Astyanax mexicanus: one gene and its partner. The protein of the gene in region 2 purifies or fractionates together with the protein of the main gene of each other region. This does not show direct contact. Links are inferred from orthologs where the notes say so. Each region holds a gene or a part of one and is shown on either strand. Other genes may lie near its edges. The genes, in order: hdac1 and zinc finger protein 521.

Evidence for each region.
Region 1: the proteins of zinc finger protein 521 (region 2) and hdac1 purify together in Homo sapiens (affinity purification with mass spectrometry; 3 studies listed by BioGRID and IntAct, counting the BioPlex papers as one, with this or other methods). This does not show direct contact. The link is inferred for Astyanax mexicanus from reciprocal best matches to the Homo sapiens genes ZNF521 and HDAC1.

The regions. Positions count from the first base shown.
Region 1 is NC_064410.1:39,607,947-39,623,986, reverse strand, and holds the start of hdac1 (histone deacetylase 1), read right to left. Parts: upstream 7,596-16,040; 5' UTR 7,529-7,595; coding exon 7,477-7,528; intron 5,637-7,476; coding exon 5,524-5,636; intron 5,430-5,523; coding exon 5,312-5,429; intron 4,847-5,311; coding exon 4,772-4,846; intron 4,666-4,771; coding exon 4,527-4,665; intron 3,983-4,526; coding exon 3,841-3,982; intron 3,687-3,840; coding exon 3,594-3,686; intron 3,517-3,593; coding exon 3,408-3,516; intron 3,321-3,407; coding exon 3,180-3,320; intron 2,517-3,179; coding exon 2,408-2,516; intron 1,522-2,407; coding exon 1,394-1,521; intron 1,193-1,393; coding exon 1,034-1,192; intron 412-1,033; coding exon 363-411; intron 157-362; coding exon 129-156; 3' UTR 1-128. Other genes in the region: marcksl1b (MARCKS-related protein 1-B), read right to left, coding at 13,433-13,996, 15,002-15,082. UniProt on the Homo sapiens protein: Histone deacetylase that catalyzes the deacetylation of lysine residues on the N-terminal part of the core histones (H2A, H2B, H3 and H4).
Region 2 is NC_064415.1:10,737,531-10,753,619, reverse strand, and holds the start of zinc finger protein 521, read right to left. Parts: upstream 7,761-16,089; 5' UTR 7,623-7,760; intron 7,597-7,622; exon of another isoform or gene 6,646-7,596; 5' UTR 6,645-6,645; coding exon 6,605-6,644; intron 1-6,604. UniProt on the Homo sapiens protein: Transcription factor that can both act as an activator or a repressor depending on the context. Involved in BMP signaling and in the regulation of the immature compartment of the hematopoietic system.

The DNA of each region.
Region 1 (16,040 bases), on a different chromosome or scaffold from region 2:
ACAGTCTTTAGCCTGCGAGCTAAGATTGTGTCTGTGTGTGTGTGGTGTGTGTGTGTGTGTGGTGTGTGTGTGTATGTGTGGTGTGTGTGTATGACAAGTACATGCATCCATTTGGACTCGGTGTATTCTCAGGTTGTTTTCAATTCTTCTTTTGGCCTTCAAGAAAACAAAACAAAACAAAAATCTATTAAATGTTATGGCTCAACCACAGTGTTTATCTTCCTTTTGAAGTAATAGCAGATACATTAGTATATATTTAACAAAAAATATAAGCTGATACATTTGAATAAATCTCTCCACATATCCATACAGCAAGTTAATATTAAAAATAAACATTCCAGAATAGCTCAAAACACACATACCCCTTTGTGTCCATTTTTTCCTCTGGAGTTTTCTCCTCCTCCTTCACATCTGTAAGATTGTAAAACTTAGCATTACACACTTTAAGCAATTTTACAATGGAACACATTTAACACAAACCACATAAGGATAAACTGTTCAGGTTAAAAAGGCCAACTCATTAAAGGCCAGCTTGACATCATAATATGGGATTAATGTTAACGTGTTCAGTCACTGTGGCTAAAAGTCTGAGGCACATTTTAATTGCAACAGCTCAAATAAAACCGTAGTAACTAAGGGAAGCAGGCACACAAATTGTTGGAGGCCTTTTTTGTAGCAATTCACAGCAGAAATCATGAGTGCCAAAAAAAAATAATAATTGGATGAATTTAGTATGCATTTGATTCTGAGGTTGATTATTTTGATACTAATAATAAAGCAAAAAATGTAAAATAACTGAATTAAAAATGTTGTGTTTACAGCTTAACAGCCGCACTGAACGTCTGACACTTTAATTCTACTCTACACAAACTTAACATGAATCAAATTTCTGTTCATTAACTTTATATACTTTCAAGTTTTGACTGCATAGTAACAAGGACAGGCAACTTATTGGCTGATATTTTTCCCAATACTTGATAAAGCCATGAAATCAAAAGATGAGATGATCAAGGTGAAATTCTGTTGGCTGTACCTGTCTGCTCACCTTTCTTCTCTTCCCCATCCTTGTCTTCTTCAGTCTTCACTCGTTTTGCTTTCTTGAAGTTTATGGTGTTTCTGCGGCCACCTTGTCCTTCATCCTCAGAATCGGAGAACTCCTCATCGCAGGCTATCCGCTTGTCATGGGCACGAACTAGTGAAGGAAATAAAAAGATAATTAAAAAAAGCTGCTTACTCTCAGCAAAATGTGACTAATAAAAGTGAATCAGGTTCTCTCTAAGCTTTTGTTTTTGGAGACAAACCAGAATACAAATTCTGCTCCATAAAAACTAGAAAAATGTAGAAATAAGGATAAACTGAAGTAACACAGCAAAGACAAGTAATCAGCACTCACTGGGGATTCGTTTGTCTGGATCATCCTCCTCATCTCCACTGTCCTCCTGCACAGCATCCTCGGGGATAACCTGCATTTGCACTCCTGGAGCATGAGGCAACATGCGCAGGTTCTCAAACAGACGCTGTCTATTAACAGACAAAGCAAAGGAGAAGAAACAAAATCAGCAAAAATACACTTGTGTAGACTACATACTGCAACAAAACATTGTGTGCAGAGAAAGGCACTGAAGAGTGTCATTTAGGAAACAGTAATAAGGCTACGTTAACATTACCAGGCTAAACTAACTCAAATCTGATTTTTTTTTTTTTTGGCTCAATATGGCTCAGATCTGATTTTTTTTCATGGCTGTCAACATACCAAATCATTTTTTTAATAAGATCTCAGCCACTTCGATATGTGGTGCTAAATCAGATACATATCCAATCCATGGACATGTGACAAATGTGGACTGTCAAATCGGAATTAATAAGTCTTTACATTAAAGTTTCTCTTTCATGTCCACACATCTCTTGGTGCAGCTGTGCAGCTATAGCTGCAAAAACAGCAAAAGCAAACCGCCTGGCCTTTTTTTCACCTCCTCAACCTGATCATGTACTTCAGACCAGCTGTTTGCTGTTTCTCCACTCCAGCAAAAGATGCTCCACATAAGCTGATATCCATTTCCATTTATAAAGCTCGTCTCTCAAATATGACGTTTGTTGATGGTGAAGGTGACGTTTATGCACGTTATCAATGTGCATGCGTGAGATGTTTCAGAGACAGATTCATTCACAATACATACAGAGACAGGCCAAATTTGATCAGAGTAAAATTTGATTTGAGCAATATGGCTTGTAATGTGAACATAGCTTAAGATAAGTAACTGCAAACAAAGCTGCTGCATTAGAACAAATGCAAACACTAGTCTCAGGGTAACAATTTAACACATTTCACACATTTCACACATTCTAGTGTGTCTTAGTTTGTGGTCATTTTTCAGCAGAAGGTGACTGCTTTCTGTAGAACACTTACTTAATCTTCTCCAGGTAGTCATTTGTGTTCTGGTTGGTCATGTTGGAAGGGCTGATGTGGAGCTTGAAGTCCGGTCCAAAATATTCGAAGTAGTCATTGTATGGAAGCTCTATATATTAGAAAAAACGGTGGGAAAACAAATTGTAAGTTAGAAATACCAATAGAGAAATAGAACAGCTAGCTGTTGACATTAAGGAGTTAGCATAGAGTTAAACCTGTCTAGCTTCACATTATAAAATGAAGTAATGCAATTTCTTACATGAAAGGTGCACAAGTTTTAGTTTACTCAAGTCGTTTAAAGAGCTTCCAGCTCAAATTACATATTGTAGGAACATTGTCATTTTGATAAATTAGATATTACTAGGGTTTTGTTTAATTTGATTAATCAGCCATAACATATCCATTTACAGCTAAGGTTTTTGCAATATTTCTGCAATCAACAAACTGGTAATTTGCCAAATTGAAAAAGGAGAAAAATTAATTAATGAAAATTATACCCAAATCAATTTCTATTCTATGCTGCTAAGAAACATCAGTAAGGCCATAGCCAAAATACAGTCTTGGTATTGCATGGCAACTGATTAATTGTGTCAAGTTAGGCTAATTTCAGTCACATTACACAAGTAAATTTCCACTAAGAATCAGTCTTGAAATCATCTTATTGTCAAACAACTCTTGCAATGGAAGTGCCCCAACCAAGATCCCATGGTCTGTTTATAGAGAACATTCAGAACAAATATTAATAATTTAATTAAAACAGCACAGTATTCACCGTTGGGAATAGTGCTGTCCAGGGCTACAGCTGTCTCATAGGTCCAACAGCGAGCCACGTTCCTAATGGTGTATCCTCCTCCTCCCAGCATCAACAAAGGCAAGTTAAAGCTCTTCATGTATTCAACACACTTAGCATGGCCTGCAGAGCACAGAAACCCAGTGTTATCAGTCAGAATGAGAGCAGACAACTGCTTGGCTATGAGTAATGCTCAGTGCTGAAAGTGACCTTTAATAGTGAGGTTGAAGCAGCCCAATCTGTCTCCAGATAGAGAATCAGCACCGCACTGAAGTACTACAGCACTGGGTTGATACATCTCCATCACTTTGGCCATGATCTGAGGAAGACATTTTATTAATTCAGACTGGTCAATTTTCAGGACATCTCTGTAATGCTACACTGATTATGACTTACAGGTTTGAAAATGGCTTCATAAGATTCATCATCAATCCCATCCCTGAGCGGGTAGTTCACAGCGTAGTATTTTCCCTTTCCTGCACCAATGTCCTGGGGAATAATCATTAGCCACACTAAAGTTAGAACCCACATCTATTTGTAAGCAAAAAGTACTGTTAAGTAGTGTAATTGCAAACAGTCTATTTAAGCAAAAATATTAAAATTAAAAAAATAAATAAAAGAGGCAAAGGAACTGGGAACTCACTCTGAGGTCACCTGTGCCAGGGAAGTACTCTCCATATTTATGGAAAGAAACAGTCATGACACGGTCTGTGGTGTAGAAGGCCTCCTCTACTCCATCACCATGATGGATGTCAATGTCAATATACAGCACTCTTTGATGGTATCTACCAAACAGTATTAAAACAAAGCCTCGTATAAAACAACTATTCAAGTAAGGAATTATCAAATATCTGTATTAGAGAAATTTACTAAATTAAAAAAGCTTAATTAAAATGTTCCTTTAACTTTTACCAGAATACAAATATGTCAACTGACCTAGACAAGACCGGTGTATAAAATTAACTTCCTTAAGATTGTTCACACCTCAATCACACAAGGGCGCCATCATTTAAAAATGAACACACAGCCAGTCTGTCTGATGAGACCTACGTGCCTCGGCAGACAGATTGATAAATTTACACTGCTGTGGCGTGTAGTGTTGTAAATTGCATACATTAGTCTTAGTATTACATTTTTGCCTGTAACTTTTTTTTTAACAAAAGCTGCTCTTTTTTTACTGATATGAGGTTAGCTGATCTTATAGGAAATTATTCTAAAAGCATGACAATAATTCAATAAAAAATAAATGGATAAAAAGAAAAACATGCAATTAAATTTAAGTGAAATACTGCATAAAAACCAAAATAGTAATTGTTAAGAAAAACATACTTGAGCAGTTCCAAGATGGCAAGGACAATGTCATTGACGTAGCAGAAACCAGAGGCCTCAGACTTCTTGGCATGGTGAAGACCACCCGCCCAGTTAATGGCTATGTCTGTTTGCTGCTTGTTTAGTTTCACAGCTCCAGCTGAAAGAAAAAGGAAACAGCACTATTAAATATAGGTCATTGGTCACCTGCAACAGGCTTGCCTACTTAAAGAACCCATCCAGCTAGCCAGGTTAAACGCACTTACCAACAGAGCCACCTGTTGAAAGCTGACAGAACTCAAATAAGCCATCAAACACAGGGCAGTCTTCACCCACATTAACTGGGAAGGAAACACATTAAACAAATCAATTTTTTATAGCAAAAAAACAAACAAAAAAAATAGTTTTATAACTTAAGAGCTTAATTGCTGTGTTTGTTATTAATCTAAAAAGTTTGAAATAATTAGATTTAGTTATATGAACTCTTAAACCACAGGTACACATTTTTACAATATCATATCAACTGTGTTTCATCACTGCAATAAAATAATTTCCATAATGGCAACAGCATTTATGACAACTTTAAATATATGCACAAATATGCAACTGATTTGGTTTTCAATTATTTTAAACCTGTCAGCTTAAAGAAAACATGGCTACTATCCGAAAAGAGCTCAAAAATCACAGTTCCTGTTACATGGTCTGTTTCACAAGATTGCATTCTAACCACTTATATTTTGGGTGAAAAGCACCTTAATTAAAAGTCTGGGTTCATATCAACTCATATCAACATATTGAATACTCACATCTCTGCATCTGCTTGCTGTATTCTGACATGTTATCTGGGCGAATGGAACGCAAGAACTTGATGTAATCATCACTGTGATACTTGGTCATCTCTTCACCATTGGCTTTGTGTGGTCTCTGTAAACAGACACAAAAAAATACCTCATTACCATAACGTCCGAGACACTTAACATAAGGATGTAAAATTCTGAAGTTCTGAACTTCCTCTTACATAGATCTCCATCTTCCTGTACAGTCCATAGTTCAAGAGGAGGTTGTGGGTCATGCGGATTCTGTGGGGCTTCATGGGATGACCCTGGCCATAGTAGTAATTGCCAACATCCCCTAAAGAGAGTGTAGAACAGTGGGTAAAACATTTGAAAAACATAAAAATGAAGTTCACACAATACATGAATTACAGAGGCAGGTCATTATTGAAGTTAAAACGTTATTAACATACTACATTAGACTTTCTTTAAAATGATCTAGTAATGGTTTTCATGGACTTGATCTTCTTTATCTTAGTGAAATGATTGTTAGATAGGTTTCAGAAATGGCTTTCTACAGTAATCTGTTGGTAGTACAAAAGCTGCTTTCAAAACTTCTTTCAAGCACTATGGCCTAAAGCTCTGGAAGGCTCTTCCTGAGGAGCTCAGAACCATTTCCCTCTATGGAAACTTTTAAAAAGAGTGTTAAACCAGATTAGGGCTGCAATGATTAGTCGATATATAAAATCAACAACGTTGATTATTAAAATTTGTCAACTACAAATTTCACTGTCCACTAATCATTAATTTGTAACAGTACCACATTACACAAAGTGCTGGGGAGTGTCCAAACACAACAGATTGTATATTTACTCACTACATATCATTACTTTCCACGTTCAAACATCCAGACATTTAACAGCTTTTTAAGTGTAATGTTTAATTGTTTCAATCGTTTTTTATAGATAGAGGACATGGCAGAAAGAATCGTTGAATAATTGACTAATTAAAAAAAAATAATAATAATAAAATAAACTACCAAAATCATTAGTTGCAGCCCTAGTTCAGATTAGCATTCATTTAGTCCATCTCTCTTAACTGCAAATCTTCTAATCATATTACTTCCCTTCTAAATGTTTACTGCACTTCTGCTTCAATTTATTTGCCATTTATACAAGTATATTATTTTTTAATAATGCCTGTAATTGTTTTCTCCCTCCCCATGAAATTTTATATTAATCTTTACATTTAAAAAATTTACTTTTTCGTGGTGAAACTTCGAACTGCATTAATGTATAAAAGGTTATGTCCAAATATTATTATTATTATTATTATTATTATTATTATTGTTATTTTTATTAGCTACGAGGGAACTTGCAGACACAACAAAGCAGGCGCTGAGAAAACTAAGCAGACTACCGGGTTACAGAGAAAGGGTCACAGCACTACAGATCCCGAATATAACCTATAAATCTTTAGAGTTTTGTTTATACTGCCTGCATTGCTGGGCTTTAGCATAACTCTGCACGTAATAGTAATACAATTCTGGGGAGAATTTTTACTTTCTGTATTGGCTGAATTGGCTAACTAGCTAGCTAGATTAGTTAGCTAACGCTAAATAACTGCACTCAAACAATAAAACTGCTACATCAAAACCAAACAGACCAGCCTCACTATTACTCAAAGTAGCTGTTGAAGTTTATCATAATGAACAGAATGAGCTCAGTGGTTTCCTTTATTACAGTGAAATGATTTTACTTCCAAAGATAAATGGCTAAGCTAGCTAGCCCTGCTAACAGATAGATAAGCTAAGCTAAGCTAAGTTCAGTCCTCTGCGTGTTAGGTTATCTAGCTAACTGACCACGAACGAGCATCCTACACATTAGTTAAATGATTAATTAGCCATAGCCACAGCGGAGCCCGTTTCTCATCCCTGCGCTGCCCGTAAAAAGAGTTTACAGGCGGGAATATCAGCCCGGACCCCGCAGGGTTTCTCTCGTTAGCTGAAGCTGGGGATAAAGAGGGAGCACTCGCTGCTAACCGGCTAATGCTAACACACTACTCCGGGTACCGAACTCAAGCGGCTAACCGGCTAAACTTAACGCAATTACAGACCGCTGTCCCGGCCGACTGGTGCATTACTCGGCTAAAGCGACTGAAAATGAGTAAACCTGCTCGCTCCGAGCGCAGCTTCTTACCATCATAGTAATAGCAAACTTTCTTCTTTGTTCCTTGCGAACTCAGCGCCATTTTCCCTCCGGTCAGCGTGCGGCCCGCCGGCTTTCAGCAGCGCAGCACATCGGGGGCGGGACATCAGGCCTCATCATCCAATCACACTCAAGAATATCCTTCTGGGGGCGTTTCTGTCCGTGTCAGGACCAATCCGCTCAAACCGCACTGTTCGCTCAATTTGTTGAGTTCAAACCCGTGGTATAAAGATATGCGTATACATTGTATATACAGCTTTGGGGAAAAAATAAGAGACCACCTTAATATGACGAGTTTCTTTTATTTTACCAAATTGAAAACCTCTGGAATATAATCAAGATGAAGATGGATGATCACAAGTCATCAAACCAAGCTGAACTGCTTGACTTTTTGCACCAGAAGTGGCATAAAGTTATCCAAAAGCAGTGTGTAAGACTGGTGTAGGAGAACATTTCAGCCATTTCTTATTTTCTGCAAATAAATGCTCTAAATGACAATATTTTAATTTGGAATTTGGGAGAAATGTTGTCCATATATTTATATACATTACCGGTCAAATTGTTTAGAACAGCTTTATTTTTTTAGTTGTCCAGTAGCCATGCTGTACGGCCCAGACAATCTGCTTTTTTATTTTCCCATCTGAGCAATGACTTTATTACTGTACTTCACCTGTCAGATCTCTAAATCCTCTCCTCACTGCTGAAACTGAGACCTAGTCCAACGTTAAGCTTAGCTAAAGGCGCTGCCATGTGAGTCCTTTGAATGTGTAGGAAGCTCTGGCTTTATCTGTAAATTCTCTAAAGAAAAGACTTATGCTTTTAATAGTTATAGAGTTGTAACTTGTCTGCATTTTTAAGTCTTTTTTACTTATTATGATGAAAGTCTAAATGTGCTCTGTGTAAGTGTGTAAATGCTGCAGTTAAAATATGCGATCTGTTCCAATACTGCTTTAATACAGACAAAGGCTTTGTAAATTGACATTTTTTTAATCCATTTCCAAAGCTCTTTTTGTTCCATTGCTACTTACTGCTACTTGCTGTTATCCAATAAATTGTTTGCTAAACATCACACCCTCTTTTTTAAAGAATATAATGATTTTATTTAGGTTTTTTATCACAATACTAAAATCACTTTTTTGGTTTTGTTTTTAGTTCATTTGTTGTACTTAAACACAGTTTAGTGCACATTTTTGTACACTGGATTTTCTACCATTTCTGGTTCTTGACTGGACCTGCAGAGATTAGATATCCCAAAAAATTAAGGGAAAAATAATTTGCTACATGTATGTGTGTTCTAAACATTTTGACTGGTACTGTCTATGTAACAAACCATTATAAACAAACAGAGGATTTGGGCTTTATTTATTCACTAAAGGTTCACAACCAGTGTTTATATTGTTTGAAACCAAATGTAACCTTACTCAGTATCTGCTGATGCAACAATTAGCCAACTTTATTGGAAGGAAATCATCCCTTAAAAATATGATTAAAATATGGAATTGTATAATAAAAGTATTACTGCTGTTTGGGACATCATCCTATTGTTTACCAAATGGAATAAGGCCTACATAGAAAATAACACAGTACCTACAGTCAAATATGGTGGAGGTTTAAAGATGTTTTGTCTTGACTGTGTGCAAGGCCTCATTAAATCTGAAGATTATTAAATGGTTTTGGGTTACAGTGAAGGGCCCAGTGTTAGAAAGCTGGGTTTGCATCCTAGGTCATTCTTCCAGCAGGACAATCACCCAAACATACTTCAAAAAGCACCCAGAGATGGATGGAAACGAAGCACCTGTAGAGTTTTAAAGTGTCTAAATCCTAATCACCTGTAGAGTTTTTTTTTGAAGGTTGTGGGACCAAATATTAAGTTGAGGGTGCCAATAATTTTGTTTTGCATGAAATTATATACATTTATTAATTAATTTATTTTTCTTTTTAGCTGTTCCAATACGGAAATAAGGAAATAAACATGTGTATACGCAAATATGTGTAAATGCAATATATATCCTCATGTCTCTGTATGTGAGCTCATTATGTATGCAAGTCTTTGCTGCATGGATTTGTTAAAGGCAGAGGTCATATTCCATCTGTGTCCAACACAAATGGTCAATGTGTTTGTCTTAAAACGTTGTGATGATGTATGTTAGTACTGTATTTTCTGAAATATCGGAAACATAAATTAGCCATACAAGTAGCCATTATAGATGATTGGTAAATTGTGGCCATGAAGGGATGCACATGGTCAGCAATACTACTTAAATAGATTGTGGCATTTACACGATTGATGCGTATTACCAGGCCCAGAATTGCTCAGTAGACCAAGACACTGACCTGAGGCCTGAGGAATCTGATTTTGAATCTTGGGTTATGCTGCTTAGCCATCAGCATAACTGGCATTGCTCTCACTAGGTGGGTAGATGGCGCTCTTTCCCCTTATGACTCCCATTGTGATGCTGGCCAGATGCTTTAGGGCTGAGGATACAGCACTTTCCATGTTAGAAAAGAGGCGGTGGCTGACTCACCATTTGATTGTGGGGGAGAATTGTAAGTGATGGCAGGTCCTACAAATAAGATGGGCTAAGTTGCTTAGTTTGGGAAAAGAATTGAGTACAAATTAAAAATGCAACTGTCTAGTTTTGGTGAGTTTGTGCCCACTGCAACCTCAGCTTTCTGTTCTGTTTAGACCAAGGTTCAACCTGGTGTAAACTCAGACTACTCTAGCCATTCTTTGCTGACATCTCTCTACAAGCTTAAACCAAGAATTAATAGAATTCTGCGTATTAAAAACAGTCATCATTCTGGGCATTATAGGCCGCACAGTAGTGAAGTTAGATTAGGATGTTCTTATAATAAAAATAAAATGTGTAAATGTTGGATGTTCAGCACAATAGAAAAATATAAACAAAATTTAAACTAAGCAATGGAGCATAATATAAACTAGTTTGTTTAAATGCATTTTAAACAATTTGTGTAAACAAAAAAAATAGGTTATTTATAATACTAAAATAATAGAAATTACTATAATGTGCTGACATAGCAAAGCTTCATTGCATCATGTTAGTACAAAACATGTGGATACATTAATATTTTATATACTTACCTGCCAAACCTGCACAAAGTTAGCATATAGAATATACCATGTAGTATTAATGTCTTGTACATTGACCTAATTGTAAAAGTTAAATATGTAAATAAAACAGTTTTAAAAACTACTTAGAACACTGAAAAAAAAGAATTTGTCATGTGTCCCCACACTCTATCTATAAACTTTACCATGAAATATAATTATTAAAATCCTTCAGCGATGTCCCTTTTTTGTTGCATTGTTGTGTGACTCCAAATCCCATCTATGCTTTAAAAATATGTTTTCATATTTTAGATCCATAAAATAAAAATACACATTGTGTCACTCATTCCTGTTACCGTAACACATTACCCCATCTGAAACATCTGGAACATTTTACAAGTCACATCTACAACAGGAAGTTACATCAGCTGGTTCTTCTGAAGACCATGGGAAGACCAAAATTAAGTTCCCTCATTAGTTTTTCTGTATATTTGATCTTATTGTAACGATGACTGAGGAGGTCAATCCCGACACTCTTTCATGTTACCTAAATTCATTTTTAGATCTTATGTTTATTTTTAAAATACATTTTTTTTTACAATCACTAGAATGTGCTCAATGGCCTCATGCTTTTAGCATAGCCACAATTTAGAAAATTATCTTGTTTTTGCTAATTCTATGTTCAAATCTCTTTCCGATTACTTTAATTCCTGTTACTCAAAACATAAAAAGTAACAGGAATGAGTTCCAGTAACAGGAGTGAGTTCCAGTAACAGGAATGAGTGCCATTAACAGGAGTGATTTTTGTCATAAATATAAATTATATGAACATGCAGTCAACCATTACTTTCTTGAGAGAAAATTAAAGGAATTAGTGGACTTGCTTTTAAACATGCTTTTTAAATGTCACATGAGTTTTGTAACCATCTAAAGTTTAGAAACCTTAGAAACATTAAGTAAAGCTGCATGAGTTTGACCAGTACATGTTTTGAATTGTTAAATACATTTGTTATTGGATTCGAAGTAAAAAAAAAAAAAAAAGATTAAATAAGTTTAATTTGGAACAAGCAAATGGCATCCATTCAGTGGAATAGCCTATGAATACATTATTTTATACGTTATTATTTTATAGATACAGTACACCAGTCTGACACTAGGTGGCGACATATGCCCACATTTGACTCAATACCATAGAACAAAAATATGTTTTGGAATTGAAGGAGCGTTGGAGAGAAGCTTATCAAAATGGAGCGTTAAATGGCTGCATTTTAGAATAGGCATACAGGTCTACAACTGATAAGCATTACGGTATAGTCAATTAATCCTACACCAAGTCTCTGAGTTACCAATAAATAACCCTCCATAACATTTCTAGTGATTTACAACAAACAGCTATTACTGAAAAAAACATGATCAAAATAGAAATTACGTTACACCAATCTGCGACTTGCTGTCGAGTGACGCATTTCATTTGTTTCAGTACAGATACAAAACTATTTTTACTGATGTAGTTTTACATAGAACCATATTTACATTTACGATAAGTAAATTCTACATTCTCACCCTCTGCTCCTTGTTTAGGAATTTGTGACACTAATAAACTGTAAATGAAAACAGCACACGTGATTATAGCTTACATCAGGCTGCTTCTTAACACTACATTTGAGTCTGGCATGTAAATGCCATTAGATCCACTTACAAGGGTCTATAGGCCATTATGGTCTTATATAATTTCTTTGGCCTTCATCAGGCAGTTTACTTCACTGCTATTATGCAATGTTTCTGTATGTAAGGTGTAGAATTCTAGGTGGTAATTTTGATACATATTTGACACCTCACAGTAACATTCAAAACAATCCTGGGCCTGTTATCAACAGGCCACCAACCCTGTAAAACCATTCTAAAATATTGTCAACCGCAACTGGAAGGAAATTGTTTTTAAACCTTATAGCACATTTAAAGCTAATGTGGTTGGTGTTTTGTCTCTACTTATTGATATAGTTTAATAAATAAACATTATGTCAATATGCTTGAAAACCTAGTGCATGTTTTCTACCCCATCAGTGTAAAGAAGGACACTTCTCAGCTTCCATTAGGTAACCAACATTTATTTACCATTATCAACTTTACAATAAAACCAGTAACATCTTTTAACATTAGCAAAATAAAGAACAAAATCAGTCAAATGTATTTACAGAGACAAAAAAGCAGATCAAGGCTCACATTTAACACATAACAACTCTGCTTCTTTTAAAACCTCAAATGTGAACATAGCAAGCTCAAATGTGTTTTTTTTAGCCAAGATGAAAATTAAAATGCGATTTCAAACAAACAAGACAAAGCCTTCTGGATATTTAAAATGGTTCTCTATACACCACAAAATACTTAAATTTGGGTTAAAATATAGGAATGTAGAAAGTTGGCAAGTCTTTTTTTTCTTTTCCGTTTTTTTAACAGTCATTATTATGTGGTGATGTTTATCTTGCACTTCTCTTTTTTTATATTATAGCATCTTTGTGGTGATGGGTTTTGAAAGATGCCTCTTCTTCTTTCCTTCTTTATCCCGCTCTCAAACTCACACTTCTCTCACTCTTGCATTGAAATCCCGGTCCCGAAGTGATTTCAACCTAAATTCAGAGTCCCGGATCTTTGAGCCATTATTAGGGAAGTGAACTAGTGAATCTAGTCTGTCATTTCATATTAATCTTGAAGAAAGTGGCACGAGGAGTCTCTCTTTTTTTCTTTTTTCACATACATGTGTATATATACATATACATATATCCATGTATATATACATATGTATACATATACACATATATATAAATATATATATTTTTTTTCTTGAAAAACAGTTCACAAAGTCCTTGTGAAGTACAATCACTCATTCTGTTCGGATGGTGCGGGTGTGGAGTTGGTCTCCTCTGTGGGTTTTGTGGGCTCAGCAGCAGGTGCGGCGGCAGCAGGGGCAGCCTCTTCCTTGGGGGCGGCTGCGGCGGCCTCTTCGGCCTTGGCCGGGGTTTCCTCTGCTTTGGGGGTCTCGGCTGGGGCGGGGGTCTCCTCCGCCTTGGCCTCCTCCTTCTTCTCCTCCTCTGCAGGCGCTGCAGCGGCCCCGTTCTCCTCGGGCTTCTCCTCTGTGGCCTCCTCTGCCTTAGCTTCCTCCTTCACCTCGGCGTTCTTCTTGCTCTTCTTGCTCAGCGAGAGGCCCTTGAATTTGAAGGAATTCTTCAGGGAGAACTTCTTCTTCTTCTTTTTGGGGGTCTCCTTGGTGGCCTCGCCCTCAGGCTTGGCGGCGTCCCCCTCGGCAGCTGGTGCTGGCTCGATGGCATCTCCCGCGCCGGCCTCAGCCTCCTTGGCTGCCTCGGCCGAGCCGTTGGTGGTGGCGGCTGAATCTCCCTCTGCTTTAGCGGACACGTCACCGTTGGTTTTGACATGGCCGTTCTCCTAAAAGGGGGGAGATAATGATAGTTTAGACCATTTACATTTAAAAATGCATTTTTGCTTCTTTTGATGGATTTACATGAGCTTTCCTATTAGTATTACATAGTTATTACTATTTTTTTGGCAAAATCCTACGTGTAGCCCTTCAATCGTCGACGATTAACTACGCTTGTGGCCAATCACGTACACAATGCAAGTGATGGAGGTGGAGGTGACGCCTTGCAGTACCGCAACCCGCCGACAGGGGGCGACGAGAGCTCACAAATCGGTGGAGACTGGTCGAGACGGCGGCTTTCAGACAAAAGACTGAAGCGGATCGATGCGCGGTGCGTCGTCGACGATCGGTTTAGCGTAAAAAACACGAAAACACGAACACACCCCTCGAGCACGAGCGGAAAATCGCGTGGAACTGGTTTTTATTGTAAAAACATGAATAGTTTGATTCATAACTAGCGCCTATCTGACCAATTACACGTGGATTTAGCCGCTACTGAGCGCAGTGTCTAGACTGGTGTGTCTGGAGAAATTTGGGCTTCGATTATTCGACGCATGAATGAAAAAAAGCTGTAAACTCGGAGCAGGAAAATACAACAAAACCGGTGTTAAACATTAAGGATTAGTTGGTAAAGGAGTTTATCTAGATGATGCTTAAATTACACTGAGGGTGAGCATCCCCTCCTACGCGGCGGTGAACCTTCCCTAACGATAATTATCGATGATAAAACACATCTTAGGCCAACTGTGGATCAGTCAAACACGCCGTGCCTGCGATTAAAAGCCCCGCTACTCTTTATATACAGAAGATTAAATGCCCGAGCGCGATGCAACGGGTGGGTGGGACGGTCGGATGGAGGTTTTTGACTCTCCCGCGTGTGGAGAGGAGGGAGGGGGAGCCTGCTGAGCACCGAAACGCTCCTCAACCAGCCGGAGAGAGCTGCTGCTGTTTTTCTCACAGAAAACCATCGTGGAAGAGGGTTAAACCATATGAACGCATCCACTGGTTCCTACCTGTCCGTTCGTTTTGGCGGCGGACGCCTCGGCGGCTTTGCCCTCCACGGCCACTCCTCCCTTAGATGCCTGGGATCCCATCGTCGCGATCTCTCGGAGAGTTTCGAGCTTTTCACAGAAAGAAAAACCGAATCAGTGAGTCGAGAAGTAAATCCAAAGCCTCGGGCTCGCTGCGCATCCAAAGGAGCGAGGATTTCTCTCTGTTTTTCTGTTTATAAAACTCTGTAGACCTCCTGGTCCTCCTCCACCCTTTCTCTCCGAGTGCTGCTCCACTACTAACAACACCAGTTGAACGGCGCTTCAAGAAAACCCCGGGCTCCGCCCACGGGCGTGGCTCCGCCGCACCGGCCTATCAGGGGGCGCCTCACGCCCTCCCATAGCCCCCCGCCGCGGCCCTCCTCCTCTCCGCTCATTATGTGGGAAAGCAAATGGCATCAGAGCTGCTGGAGACCCAGTGGAGACTGTAGTAGGACCTGTTGAGCTCTGTTGATATTATTGGACGTTTGGAGGAGATATGAGACTCTAGAGCTTAAATAAAGTACAATAAGACCTTAATGGACTCCCAATATACATAAGGACCACAGAATAACACTTTAAATAAGACCTAATAAGTGGAGGACTGAGCTAACTAGCTGAGTAAACAAACTATGCAGCTAGCTAGTTAGCTACTTGGGTCAAAATACATTTATTAAAATTTAAATATTTTTTACTCCAATAAATGTAGAAAAGAGGACCCTTTAGAACTCCACTTAAGAAAAAAAGTACCACAAAATAAAAAATAACCAATACATTAGCAATTTACCATGTTTTTTTTTTTTTTTTTTGTAACTTTTTTATTTCTTAGGCTACATTCACATTACTTTGCTTCCATCAATCCATGCATTCATTTTTTCATCTTCTAAGTGCTTTCTGGTCATCACTGGGCATAACGCATGAATACATTATTTTATACAGGTATTTAACTGTTTAGTTAGTTATGCATTGCAACATAACGAAATATACTTGACATTTTTAGCAGTTTTATTAGAATCTTGGTGCT
Region 2 (16,089 bases):
ATCTAGATTTCTAATACACATTCTAATACACATTATTTCTAATCCAATTAAAAATAAAGCATATTATTAACAATATGTGTCTACAGCCAAGTGAAGATCATTAAAAATCTATATATTTTTTAACAAAACCACCCATTCTGATATAATTGCTCCATTATTTTGCATCCAAAGACCAAGAAAAGTCGCAGAATTAACACTGCAATTGCTTTTAATTTGGACAATCCCAGCTTTCCATGCCTAAATCATCCCCTTACTAATATTCACCAAATTAACCCTATTCTCAACTAGCTTACTAGCTTTGTTTCTACTCCAAAAAAGACTGACTTGATCACTGTTAAAATAAGGAGGTTATCTTTGCAAGTTTTCAGTCTTTTTCCTGCATATCGACTGTTAAAGCTACACAGATCACAGCATTAAGCTTCCCAAAAGCAAACCACAGGTGGCCTCCATGCATGCAGTGCTGCAGTTCACTACACAATATTAAGTATTCATGTAAAAAGGGTTTTTATTCTAATAAACTTGCCCTTTTTAAGTTAAGTTTAAGTTTTTTGCAAGATAGCAATGCTATGTGTGTGTACGGACGTACAGCTCTTTTTTTCCTCTTCATACAGGCTGTTAAAGCTACCCAGATCACAACGTTAGCCTCCCAGAAGCAGACCACAGGTTGCATCCATGCATGATTGCATTGCGTCCTGCAGTTCACTGCATGAGATGAAGTAATCTGACCACTGAAATGCACTTCAATGGTTTCTATGAATTAACTGCATTGCATAAAAAAATGCACCATTTGAAAGCAATAAACAATAAACTAATGTACTACACAATTAAAGCAGATCATTACAGTCACAATAAAAAACTTTGGCATATCGTGAATCTGGAAGTTGTTCTTATCAATGCATCAACATTTAATGACAAATGGGTGGGTAGTAATGATCTAAATTACCTGAAATTAATTGGCAGTAATGATATGATGTATAATACAGGTTGCATCCATGCAATATTGCATTCCAATCCTGCAATTCACTGCTTTAAATTGAGCTATTTCGCCACTGGAATGCAATGGTAGTATTGCACACTCACCAATTCAATGGTTCCTATAACAGGTATAGTAAGAAAAGGATGACCCTAATTCTGTAAGAAAACTGACAAATTAAAAGATACACATAAAACATTGTATATCCATTTGGCAATTTTCCTCTTATGATACAATCTGAATCTGCCAGCTGTTCTTTATATTTACACAAAATTCTATGATGAGTGGACCAAGAGAAATGGAATACAATCTTTATTTTTTTTTCATTGATTTCCATTAAAAGCCAAAAAGGATTTTACTTCTCCTATAAAGCGGATTTAGATAACATGATGGTGAATGTTGCATTTTTTCAGTAATAATGCTATAAAAACTCTTAAAGCTACACCTATCACAATGAAAAGTCTACCAGAAGCAACTAACAGGTTGCATCTATGAAATATTGCTTGCAGTTTTGTGGGACTGGACAATAATTCGGCAACAATATAATATAATCTACTGCAATAGAAAACATTTTAGTAACAGTAATACCATTTTGACAACATTTTAACATACATTATTTACAGTATCTGTCACTGACATTGACAAAAATATTTTTTTCATAAGTTTGTAGGTACATCTTTTTATTTTATTTTACTTTACCTTTATTTCACCAGGCTAGTCATTAAGAACAAGTTCTTATTTATAATAACGGCCTGGCTGACAATAACATCTGTTGTAGGCCTTTAGTTTGTACTGATCTTTGTTCATATTGATTTTAATAGAAATATTGTAATAGAAATATTGATCATATCATCCAGTCCAGTCACTGAATGAGTTGACGTAATCTGAACTAGGGGTGGGCAATATGGCCCTAAAATAATATCACGATATTTCATGATATTTTTGTGCTAACGATACTCTTAGCGATATAACAAAACACTGAATTAAAAAATATATATACTTCAAGAATACACAACTGCACCAGAATGAAAATTAAATTATTGTTAAATAAGATATGAATGATATGGTACACAGCTAACTGAGATAATAATACAATAATTTTAGATCAGATTTGTAACAGTCAATGATCAATGATCTAGAATGTCATGATACTAATAATGCACTCCAAATTTATCCCCATATATAAAGGATTAAAGTAAAATAAATGATACTGGACAGATATGAACTGTCTCTAGTAGATATATAATGGGAAATGAAAACAGTGTGAATTTTTTTATATAAAAACAGAAAAAAAGTAGTACCCTGATGTGATAATTAGGGGTGGGTGATATGACATGATATTTCAGATATATTCAAAAATGTTGGCGATATTATTGTGTATGGCACGATATGGCACAAAATGTACATTATTAACAGCATCTATCACTGACTGACATTCATTAAAAGCTACATTTCATTAATTGCCATTTGAAGGTACATTTGCTGTAGGCCTTTAGCTTGTATACTGTTCATATTGATTTTAAAATGTGGAAATATATATCACTTTACTAATTTATATGAACTAACTAAGATGAATTGCATAACTGTTAAGAAGCTGGTGATCTAATGAGGAACTATCACCACCAGAAAGCAGCAATATGTTCTATCTATACCATAAACCTCTGTTCACATGAAGAACCATGCGGGATAAGCGAGTGTGAAGAACCTGTAAAAGGTCTAAAGACCATTTTATTAGGTTCTATGATCACACTCATGATTCTTACACATCTCTATTACAAACATAGTCTGCACAGAACCATTTGAAACAGTCTATAGTTTTGAACTGATGCAGCTTAAACCCAGGAGGACTTGATGCATGTATGGAATTAAAGCCTATTTTCTTCACAGTCAAACACTGTTAGAGCTACACAGATATCAGCTTTCAGACGCACTACATCCAGTTAGAAAGTTAGAAGTATTTTTGTAATAATGAAATATAAAACTGGGCTTTTTTTATATATACGGACACAATCCTCAGTGAAAATGTATTAAGAGTTATTACAACACAGTTTACCACATTAACAATTCAATATTTTATTTTAGTGAACAGAGAATGTGTTCAATAAATAAATAATTTATCATCAACTGTAAATATCACAATCAATCACAATTAATTGCCAATACTGCCACAATTCCAAAAACAATATTATCTCACATCCCTTTGCAAACAGCACGTTGCATGCAACCAAAAATAACTGCTTTACTGCAACCATGGCAGTCTTCTATGATAAAGTACAATTAAAACTGACCATGATGTTTAAACACTGACCATGTCAATGACTAAATGACTTAATTTTCTAAACTAGTTTGTTAAAAACTGGTGTTCATAATACTACAAGATACACTATAAATCCGATTCGATACTGCACATAATGCCGTACATCCTTTTACACTTTCATGAACTACAAAAAGTACACTGGAACTGGAACTGCCTTATCATGGTTCAAATCTTACTTAACCTTCCAATATATCTTCCAATTATACTAAGGTAAGCTATGGAATTCCACAAGGCTCTATCTTAGGATCACTATTATTTCATTATACATGCTGTCACTGTGCAAAGTCATTAAAAAAAACATGACGTTAATTTTCCTTGTTATGTGGATGACACAGAGCTCTTCATATCAGCCAAACCTGATGACAAACTGATAATAAAGATTCTCATCAACATTTTGTCTGATTCTCTGTCCTGTGATCACATTTTTGTAAAGCTGCTTTGTAAAAAGCCTCAGTTGTAAAATGGTGCGCTCTACAAATAAATTTGATATGATTTGATTTGACTATACTGACTATACTGTATATCACAATAGAGAATCCAGTATATTATATACAGTAGATATTTCAACTTACATTGTTACAGCATCTGTCACTACATGAACTACAATTACAAGAACTGGCAAGTTCATTTTTTAGATGTTTCTTGGTACAGATTGTGTGAATTCTTGACAGTTTGTTTGGGGGGGGGGGCTTCCATATTGTGAATATTGGTACTAAATTAAGATATATCGTTATATAAATGTTGACCATATCCCGTTGCTGTCCAATGAAAAACAAGTATCTCCATTTTTGTAGATTTTTACTGTCCCTTACACTGTGGAAGAATTTCTTGGTGAACAGACTATTAGAAATAGTTAAAAATAACCTGAAATAAACTCTGTTTACATTACTTCCATTGAAAGTTTATAAGTTTTTTTTCTCTCTACTGTGAAATTGCTGTTTTGGAGATAATTGTTTTTTATAGAACAGCGACGATATCAACGATAGCTTTACTCTATAATGTTTATCACTACCTTTAATAAAGTAGTAATCTGCTCACTAGGATGCACAAATATCTATGAACCAACCGACAAACTCCTTGGACATAATTGCCAAAAATCCAATGACTGTTCTCCTAGAACTATTGCGAAATACAACGCAACACAAACATCACCGACGACACGAAACTGCAAAGTTCAGCTGAAAAGCAGATGCGATCACTTCAAGCAGATACAACTTCTCCACTTTTCTATTCCTCACAACAGAGCGCTGTCACTACTCTCTAAACGTCCAAACGTCTGAGCTCCAGCGTCCGTCATCGCCGGGCTTTCTTTGTGTGTAAGAAGAGAGAGACGTGATTGTGTTCATCCTCTCTGCTCCCTGAGGTATTGATTTAAAATGGTGACTGGAGGAACACACCGCGGACCATGTAATCTTCCTTTGAGATGATGACTTCCGAGAACGAAAAGGGGAGCGGAAAAAAAAGAAAAGGAGAGCAAACGAGGGGGGGGGCATCCAGACCACAAGCTGAGAATGTGAAATTGTGGACAATTATTTGCTGAGCGAAATACAAAGGCTGCCAGATGAACTGGAGCTTAGCCATGAATACCAGTGGCTACCCTCAAAGGCGACAGGGGGAAAAGTCTGCGTTCTATTTACTTTCCCCAGTGTGTGCGCGTGCACTGGTGTGTGTGTGAGAGAGTGTGTGTGTGTGCGATTAAAGTGAAGTCTTCATACTCTTCTTCACACTACTTTCCTGTGTAGTTAAACTATAGCCAGTACAGACTACTCTCCAGCTAAAATAAATAAAACAGTCTTCAGCTAGTATCACATATGTGCCTTTACTGAACTTCAGATACAGCCAGTTTAAGGTCAACGGGTGTACAATGGTCCTACACCTCCTCTTTAACCTTCCACAACAGTCCTAAACAATCTAAACACCAGCAGACATCAGCAGACACCAGTCCCAGACCTGCTCCAGGAGGTCCACCCCCCACCTGAACAACCAGAACATCAAGAGCCCTCCCTACAACCCAACCCACAGGAGACGTGACCTTTGAGCTGACCTCTCCAGAAAGGTGGATGAACATCTCAGACAGTATTCCAAGTACACATTTTCTTTCGTTTCCTCTTTATTTCACCCCACCTGTCCTTTAAGAAAACTACCACCACCAAGTGTAAAATTCTGCAAGCATAGTCATATGACCCCACGGCCACATCTCTTTTTTTTGTTGTTTTTAACCCCTTCTTCAAAATAGTACTGCTACTAATTGTTAAACTCTGCAAACAACAAACAGCTAGGGATGCAGTAAAATGAAAAATCTTGGCAAAAAAAGCAAACACAAACAAACATTTGGTACAGTACTGGATGCATAAAAGTAAAGAAAGAAAGAGCAAAAACACTTATTTTAAACATTTTTAACACCCAATCTGGTTGCAATTTCATTGCGTCATCCAAAACGTTGTTGTTTGGCATAGATTTTTCAGTTTGTTCACAAACGAAAGCGTTTTTTGGTTATTTACAGTGAAACAGTTTCAATTGCCAAATATTTGCTGCATCCCTTCCAAAAAAAAAAAAAAATCTCGTACTTTCATTTTTGCCAATTTATGAACTGTATCTCACATGACAACAACCACTTCTAATACCCCCAACCACAATGAAGGGTTTAGGACAACCTCTCCAGAAAAGTACATGAATGGAATAAAAAGTCCTCTTTTTTTATTATTATCCTCCCTCCCCCTTCCACAAACAAAACCACACAATCAAGCGGTAACTCTCTAAAAATGCAAAAAACTCAGAATCCTACATGCCTTCTATATCGCAATCCAACCAATCTTTGGACCAACCACATTCCTCCACAGAACAGCTCACAACACAAGCAGTGCTCAAACTCAACCGTCCCCACCAATACACCTAAATCCACCAAATCTCCAAAGTTTAAAGAGGTTTAAGCTGACCACTCTGGAATGGAAGAGAAACAGCTTGGACTGTTACTTCTACTCTTTTGCTCTTTTAAGCCCCCTCCCCTTTCATCAAAACTACCACCACCAAGTGTTAAACTCAACAAGCAACGTCACTTGACCATCCCCCCCCCCCCCAAAAAAAAAGAAAACTCAACCAAACAGTGTTCTAGCCACATCCCTCCACAGTCTTCAAACTCAACAGTTCCCCCAACCCAAAATACAGCATCTCCAAAGTTCAGTTGCCCCCTCGACAACAAACACGCGCTCTACCCCTCAGACCGCGTGCAGCCTTCACAGGGGCGAACCTAAAGCGTTACAGAAGCGCTATAATGCATCAGAACGCCTGCGCCTCGCCACACAGACAGCACTTACCTCTCAGTGATCTTGGTTTTGCCTGCTTGCGGCGCGACATCCTAACGGGGGGGAAGGAGGACGGCGTTCAGTGCGTGAGAGGGTAAAACCAAAACACTCAAAAAAAGAAAAAAGAAAAAAGAAATACAGAGAAAAAGAGAGGAAAAAGAGCCCTGGCGCGAGGGAGTTTTAAATAAATGTAATGCTTTGCTTGGAAAGAGAAAGAAAAAGAGAGAAAGAGGGAGTGAGGAGGGGGAAAGAGAGGAGAGGGGGTCGGTTTGGAGGAGCAGGAGGAGGGGAGGGAGGTATTTCTATTTTGTAAAAAAAAAAATCCGACTTAAAAACTGCACGGAATCGGTGTCGGGAGAAAGTGTAAGGAGGACGATGGTGCACCGTGCACTAGAAAAAGCCGTCGCGCGACCATCTCCGCGCCGCAACTCTCTCCTTCTTTCTCCCTCGCGCTAGCTCGCTCGCTTTCTGAATCTCTCTTGCTTGCTCGCTCGCTTGCTGCTTTCGCCGTGTCGGGCGGGCGGGCGCGCGCACGCACGTGCAATGGAGAAAATCGCACGAGCGAAAAATAATAACGCTAATGTAATATTGCAAAAAAAAAAATCAAGATGCAAAATTAAATAAAAATGCCCACGCGCTTCGCATCGCGTTGCAACATCACGAGAGATGCGAAGAAAAAGAAAAAGAACAAACCGCGCAAAATAAAAAAAAAATCAACAAAAAGCGTGAAAAACCAAAAACGCCGCAAAATTGCGAAAACACCGCAAAGTGTCACTTCTCGCGCTGTTCAAAAGAACCGGAGGAAAGTCGGCGTCTTAAAGGTTGTTTTGTCTTTCTCAGTTGTTAAAAAAATAATAATCAGCAATAAAAGAAAGATAAGATAAAGAAGAAGAAAAAGAAGAGGAGCAGAAGAAGGAAGAGAAGGAGGAGGAGGAGGAGAAAGAAGAAGGAGAAAGATGAAGAAAAAGAAGAAGAAGAGGAGGCAGAAGGAGAGGAGGATGCGAGCAGCAGCTCCTTCCTCATCACAAACCTGCGAGGTCTTGGACTGCGCCGTCGCTCCGGTAGTCCACATAATAATGGAAAATGGAAGCGAGGCCCCCAAAGCCATGCGGATGGCTCCAGAGGGGGCCCGGAGCCCGCAGGGACTCGCTCTGTACGTAATCACTGAGGAAATCATTGTCAGCCTGCCTGCGCTAGAGCACTCACGGAGAGGCATGATTAAAAAAAAAAAAAAAAAAGAATCGGTGGCAAAACCCGGTGGAGAATCCGATCCGCGCAAGGATCCGGACTCTCTCTAGCTTTTCGCTTCGGCATGAGGGGAAGGGTTTAAAAGAGAGAGAGAGAAAAGAAAGTAAGAAAATAAGAAAAAAAAAAGGAAAAAAATAGGCAGAACACGGGTGTAAAAAATGTTTAAAAAATACGAAGAAATAAAAAAATAAAATATAGAATAAAATGTTATTATTAAGTATTAATAAGTCTTTTTTTTTTAACAAATAATCATATATAAAAAAACATATTTCAACTTTTTCAGCCGTGTTTACGTTAAGTAGCTCCGCCCGCTTTTTATAAAAAAAGTAAAGAAAAAAGAAGGTGCTCTGAACAAGGGAAAGTTAAAGGAAAGGAAGGAAGGAAAAATAATAAGCAAAACACGGGTTTAAAAAATGTTTTAAAAAAATAATAATTAACTTAAAAAAATACATTTAAATCAACTTTCCCGTGTTTAAGTAGCTCCACACACTTTTTTGGTAAAAAAAAAAAAAGGTAAAAAGTCCAAAAAGGTCAAGTTTAAAAAAAAAAGAAAGAAAAAGGAAAGTAAGGAAAGAAAATTAAAAAGGAAAAAGTCAACACAAACGTGTTTTTTTTTTATTACAGAATAAAATAAACTTTTTATAAAGTTTTTACTTTATAGATAATTGTTTTATTAATTTTTTTATACGTTATTTTTATCATTTCCTACCGGTTTACACTCTAAGGCCCGCGCCTATTTTTGTAAAGGAAAAATGCTTATAAGAAGGAAAAGTTAATAGAACAAACAAACAATAATGAACAAAAATAAATACTACCACAAAAAAGAAAGTTATCACCGGTGCTGAAAACGGGTGCAGGAAAAACGTATTTAAAACTCAGTATGCAATTTAAACATGTTTTTAAAGTATTTTAAAGTGTTTTTAAGTACATGCTTTATTTTTTCGTATTTTATTTTCTCTTTTTTCAGCGCCCAAGTTCGTTTTTCTGTTCATTACTTTTTTTCCTCCCTTCTTTCTCAACTTTCCCACCCGTTTTCAGACTAAGCCCGCCCGCTTTTCATGTGATTGGTTCCTAAAACAGCTTCAGCGCACTAAGATTGGCTAATTCCGTCCCTTCTCCTGCGCTGCCATTGGCTACTCGGGTCTCTCATCTTGGACACGCATTGGTTTAGTATGAGCCCGCCTCCTGATCCGGGATTGGTGGATAATTTACAAATTCGAGCTGTTCATAAACCAATCCCAGCGCAGGAAGGAGGGGCTTGTGTGAAAACGGGTGCAGAAAGAAAACAGCACCGCTTCTCTGATCTGTTAAATAGGAAGGATTTACAGCGTTTAGTCAGAAAGTAAAGGAGTACAGTGGTGCTCAGAGCTGGTCAAGAAGATCTATCACCCTGCAGAGTTTACCCCCCACCCCTAATCTCACACACCTGATCCAGGTAACCAGAGCCTCCAGGGACACGTGACCAGCATAGACTGAAATGTTCAGGCAGGTAGAGCTCGAGGACCAAACAGTAAATCTGCCCGTGTTAAATAAACAGTAGCTTTTGGTGTAGCTACAATTTCATCACTTACAGAGTTCATTAAACCCTGGCATTTTTTTTCCTTACACAAAGAATATTATTTTCATCGTTGTTTTATAAGGAGTTATATTATGACTCCTTGAGTCTAATAAGAGAATTACAACAGCGTTTTTGGACCACTAAAAAAATAAAGTTTTATATTTTGAGAGAAGTCATAATATTTTGAAAATAGTTATTCTACTTTATAAATGAAGGCATAATATTTTGAGAATAAAGACAACATTTAAAGAAAAAAGTCATAAAATTTAGGGAACACAGTCAATATTCTAAGACTTAAAGTATTAATATATTAAGAGTAGTCATAGTATTCTGAGAATACAGTCAATATTTTGAGAATAAAAGTAATATTTTAAAAATAAAGTCAGTATATTTTAAGAATGAAAGTAAAAATATTTTGAGAACAAAAGTAATCATATTTTAAGAATTATTTTGAGAATACAAGTAATAATATTTTAAGAATTAAGGTAATAATATTTTGAGAATAAAAGTAATATTATTTTAAAAGTGTTCAGAATAATAAGAATAGTCAGGCAATTTTAAGAATAAAGTAATAATATTTAAAGAATACGGTCATAAATTAGAGTAAAATCATACAATTTTCAGAATTAAAGTAAAAATATTTAATTTTAAGAGTAAATTCAGAATGTTTTAAGCATTAAAGTAATAATTTAAGAGTAGTCATAATATTTAAAAAAATAAAAGTAATATTTTAAGAGTAAAGTCAGAATATTTTGAGAATTAAAGTAATACGATTTTAGAAGTAAAGTCAGAACATTTCTATAATTAAAGTAATTATATTTTAAGAGTAAAGTCATAACATTTTCAGAAAGGCAATGTTTTAAGGATACAGTTTCAGGAGTGTCACATTATTATGGTAAAAGAGTTTGGACAGTACCTGCCTCCTGTTTAAAGACGTTGACAACATTGTTAGCTTCACTTTCATATCACTAAACCAATAAACTACTTAAGAAATGCTTTTATATTTTGGCCTATCAGCACTATATTTTTATACGATATGTAAAACAACTGTGCAAATGTTTATTTAAAAGAAAGAAGCAGAAAGAGGTGAAGGAAATAGTTTTTTTTTTTTTTTTTGAAGGAAATGTTGTTACAGTAAAATAACCCACAGGCAGTGACCAGAAATGCAAAACTGCACGATCTATGGAGCTCAGACTGGAAACACAAATTTAAACAAAATTAAAGTCCTACTAGTCTAGTGTTAAAACCTCCATATTCTGACCATGCTGGCTGGCATAAGCTATCTGACTGCTGCTGTTGCTGCTGCTGTATTGTTGGTTATGGTGGTTAAATATGGTCTGCGTTGTTTGCTGTTGTGTGTGGATTGTGGTGTTTGTTAGCTCTGCTGCTTTGTTTAATAATAGCTACTTACTGTATGAGCTGAAAGAAGAAATCTCCAGAGAGGTTAAAAGTCTTCACTCTGCTTTCTGTAGGTGGTGCGTTAGTTTAAACATTCCAAAAAACACAAGCTGTTGACTCAAAAACGGCAAAAAAAAACAACAACTAACAAACAAACCAAACAAGCCGCTGACTGGTAATTAGTGTCTGCACCTGCGCACAAGCTCCGACTCACTTACGCCTAGTGGCTGGACAAGGAACTGCAGCTGTTGGGTTTGTCAGACCACCAGAGGGCGCTCTGGAATGAGTAAAAAATAAGCAATTAAGAAGAATAATAGTTTAAAAATATTTGATATTTTTAAACTAGAAATAATATTATTTTTTTAACACTGAGCAATATTTTATGTTTCAGTACTGCAGATACACATTGAAAGCTTGTAAACTCCAATTATAAGCATTTTTTTTTTTAATTCTGTAAAATTCTTAGTTAATACAAAGAAACCACAATAGAAGACAGCATGATAATACATTCGGGAGACAAAGGAAAAAAAGAAATAAAAAAAACCCCTAAAGATAAAGAAATATTAACAAGAGGCAGTGAAAGCTCATAAAAAATTCTTACAGTTTTTAGACACTTTTTATTATTAGTCATTTTAAAGGATTTAAAAAATATATCAAATTATGGTATTAAATGTTATACAATTTCTAAACTTGCTCTGGCTGTAACTCCAGCATCCGCTCTCACCAACCAACCAATCAGCTCACAGTAGCACTAATGCTAGCATCTCTATTTTCCAAAAAACTTTGCTGTTTGCTATATAGAAATGGAAATATACAGTGTTTTATATATTATATATATATTATATTTATATTGTTTTTGCCCTAGAATAGTTTTATTTGTTATTTTAAATTGTTTAGCCATTTAACTGAATTCGATGAGGATGGTAAAATTTGCAGATTTTTAGCCAAAATATGCCTATTTATAATTAATAATTTATAATTTAGGCAATCAGACAGTGTTAGGCAATCAATACAGTGCTGTGAATTTCAATATTTTTTTTATCTATACTGTTTACTATTTAAATATACCATGTTTTTATGTATTTATGGTATTACAAACAAACAGATACAGATATTTTAAACATTCTACTTTATAACATGTCGTATTTGTCGCCATTTTTCTGAAATATATCTCAATATGAGTTTTTATTATTTCAAATATCTCAGCAATTTTAACAGATTCTAAAAATTATTATAGCAAATTATTGTATTATGATTATTTTTTCGGGCAAGCATCAGGGCTTAGGGACTATATATAGTACCAGTCAAAAGTTTGGACACATCTTCTCATTTAGTGTTTTTCTTTATGCATTTCTTCCTTAATTGATTTTTCTATATTGTATATTACTATTAAAGACAGTTTAAAACAGTGTTTATCCTCCACCTGACCCAATCCCTTGATCTAAACCTGGTGAACTGTGAAGGAAAAGCAGTATCTATTGTTCAGCACCTCCAGGAACTCCTTCCTTCAAGATGCTGAGAAAACTATTCCAGGTGACTCTCCCTCATGAAGACACTGAGATTAAAATACCAAGAGTGTGCAGATCTGTCCTCAAAGATAAATCTGATACTTAAAATAATCTAAAATATAAAATTTTAAATATTCTGGTTTGTTTAACACTTTTTTGTTTGTTTACAGAATAATTCTGCACATGTTCCTGTATAGATTTAATATAAATTTAATATAATATTAAATTTGGAATGTAAAAGAATAATAAAAAGTTCCAACACCCTACATAGGGCTTATTCCACTCCATACTTAAGCTACAAAATGGGCAAGGTTCCCATTTAATTGGTTTAATCCCAAAATAAGACTCTCAAAACAATGGCTGTTATTCTATCATGACATGGTATCTCTTGAACAGACTACTGCAACGATAACTAAATCTGAAGCAGCTACACTTATGGGGTGGGATCCCATTAGATCAACCCTTAAGGATTTTTTTTATTTCATTAGGCAATATTAGACAACGTGTAAATTGTTTCTCTATATTTATTTGGTGTGACAGTGACTGAAAAGCTTTATTCTTTATATCTGTATCTGCCTATGTTGTATTTTCTCTTTTTTTTTTTTGTACAAAAAAAATTCCCACCACCCAAATAATAATAATAATAGCTGCTCTGTGGTGTTTTCTCTGCTGTGGTGTTCTGAGTATTGTAGAACAGGGTGAAAGGAGGATAATAATAAAGTATATAGAGAAACAGATAAAGAACTACAGTCTGTAAGAAGCTAAAAATGGACAGTGAGTGTAGTAAAGTGGCCATAATATTGTGACAAAAACTTCTCCAACAGACATCCCAAGTTGCAAAAGTTGATTTCAGGGAGGTGCCAAAAAAAAACAAAACAAAAAATACTTGCACACACACCAAAGGATAACGAAACTTTACTTTTATATTAATTAATTTTACTTTTTTTTTTTTAATTAAATTTAGAGTATTCAGAGGTGAAATGAGTTTTATCTTTTTTCTTTTTGGAAGGCCCTGCCTCTGCTTTCCTTTTTTTTTTTTGGAAAAAAGCCTTTATTTGACAAAAAATGACAGTTACAATATCACGAAAAATTGCACAATATCAAAAACATTTCATATCATATTACGATAATTATTAATATTGCCTCCGCCATGATCTGCTTTCTCTCACTCACTGAACAAATCCCGTCCGGGAGGGGGGAAAAACACTGCCCGCCCACACTTAAAACTGATTGGCTGTCTCACAGACTCTTTGCAGAGTACAGGCCAATCAGAACCCTCTCTGTTTTCTATCTCTCCTTCCCACACGCGATTAGAGAAAAAAGTCTGTGGCCTGTGTGCACGTTTGGGGCACTCGTTCTGAATTCCGGGAGATTATATGTGACTCGCGGGCATCAGGGAGCCACTACCGAAATGCGGGAGACTCCCGCAGCTTCAGGGAGACTTGGTTTGTCTGCTCCAATATATATATATATATATATATATATAATGTGATAATGACCGAACCGATCCATGTAACTCAGCCTTATCACATGCAGTGTGTGTGCTCTAAAAACTGTGTTTGTCTATTGTTGTGACTTAGATGAAGATCAGAACACATTTAATGACCAATGTATGCAGAAATCCAAGTAATCCCAAAGGGTTCACATACTTTTTTAAGCTCTCAGACTGCACAGAAATCGTATTTATCTAGCTATCTATCTAAGACAAGATTTATATAAGGAACATGTTTAAAAAACAATTAAAAATTGATCACAAAAGAAAGTCCCACCACCCAAATAATAATAATAATAATAATAGCTGCTCTGTGGTGTTTTCTCTCCTGTAGGGTGCTGAGGATTGTAGAACAGGAGGTTAATAATAAAGTATATAGAGAAACAGATACAGAACTACAGTCTGTAAGCAGCTAAAAAATGGACTGTGAGTGTAATAAGGTGCTCATTATATTGTGACTAAAACGTCTCCAATATATTTATATATAATGTGATAATGACTGAACCGATCCATGTAACTCAGCCTTATCACATGCAGTGTGTGTGCTCTAAAAATTGAGACTTTTAGACACCTTTCCATGTGTGAAGTTCACGTGACTTTTTTGGCCCGTGTGAAGAGCAGTGTGAGGATCTAATGAAGAGCACTCAAGGCTTCTAGCACTAAGAGCGTCTGCTCGGCTCTCTGGATTTTTTACTTATTTTAGCAGAGCTCCGGCTCATCTCACCTGTCCAGGCTTTACTCCCCACCTATGTGAAAATGAGACCCAGGAAGGACCCCCCGCGGAAGGGCTCACACTCTCTGTTCTCACCCCTGAGGACTGCGAGATCACTCTCCCCTCACCCGTATCCAAAAGTTATTGGAAAAGGACTGCAGTTGAACTCACACGACACAGAGTGTCCTCTTGCCCACAGAGGGGGAATAAGCTTTCCATGCCATGTTTGGAGATGAAATCGGAGTAGAAAGAGGCTTTATAAGATGCCTGTAACATCAGGTTCGCAAAATTTGCTACTGAAGCACTGTTAAGCACCATAGGTGGAAAGTAATTAATTACATTTACTCAAGTTACTGTAATTGAGTAAATTTTATGAGTAATTTGTAATTTTTAAAGTAGTTTTTAAAATAGGTCATTTTACTTTTACTCAAGTACATTTTGACACAAGTAATTTACTTTGCTACATTGGAAAACTCCCCGTTACTGAGTAAAAAATAAAATGTTTTATGGGGTGGTCTGAACAAATACTGCCTGAAAGGTTCACATTATCATGTGGAATAATAGTTCATTAAAAAGGATTTAATTTATGATTTGTTTTTACTTTTTTACATCAAATAATTAAAAGTAACTATGTAACTCTTACTCAAAGTACATTTTAAATTGAGTACTTTTTTACTTTTACTCGAGTAGATTTTTAGATAGGTACTTTTACTTTTACTTGAGTAGAATTTTAGCAAAGTAAAGGTACTTTTACTTAATTACAATTTTTCAGTACTTTTTCCACCTCTGTTAAGCACTGTAATGTACTTCTTATACCACCATTTATTTATTGGGCTATTGGACACGAAAAACGGTGCTATTTGTCTTTGGATTTTTTAAATTATTATTCATCATATTTACAGTTGCAAAAAAAAGTATGTCAACCCTTCGGAATTACTTGAATTTCTGCATAAATTGGTCATTAAAAGTGTTCTGATCTTCATCTCAACAAAGCATGGATGATGCAACAGGACAACGACCCAAAACATAGAGGTAAATCAACAACCGAACAGCTTCAACAGAAGAAAATACTGGGCCTTCTGGAGAGTCCTGACCTCAACCCAATTGAGATGCTGTGGCATCATGACCTCAAGAGAGCGATTCACACCAGATATTCCAAAATATTACTGAACTGAAACAGATTTATGAAGAGAAATGATCCAAAATTCCTCCTGAAACATTTGGTTGAGATTTTTGCTGCCAAAAAGGGTCAACCAGTTATTAAATACAAAGGTTCACATACTTTTTCCACCCGACACTGTAAATGACATGTTGTGTTCCATAAAACCATGCAAACATCATTTTTTGTGTGGTATTGGTATTAGTAGTTTGTCTATTGTTGTGACTTAGATGAAGATCATAAAATATTTAATGACCAATTTATGCAGAAGTAATCCCAAAGGGTTCGCATTTTTTTTTTTTTTTTGCAACTGTATAAGCTCTCAGACTACACAGAAATCTTATTTATCTAGCTAGGACAGGGTTGATATAACGTGAAGCCTGTTATTGGTGAAAATTGATTCAAAAATGTGATAAAATATG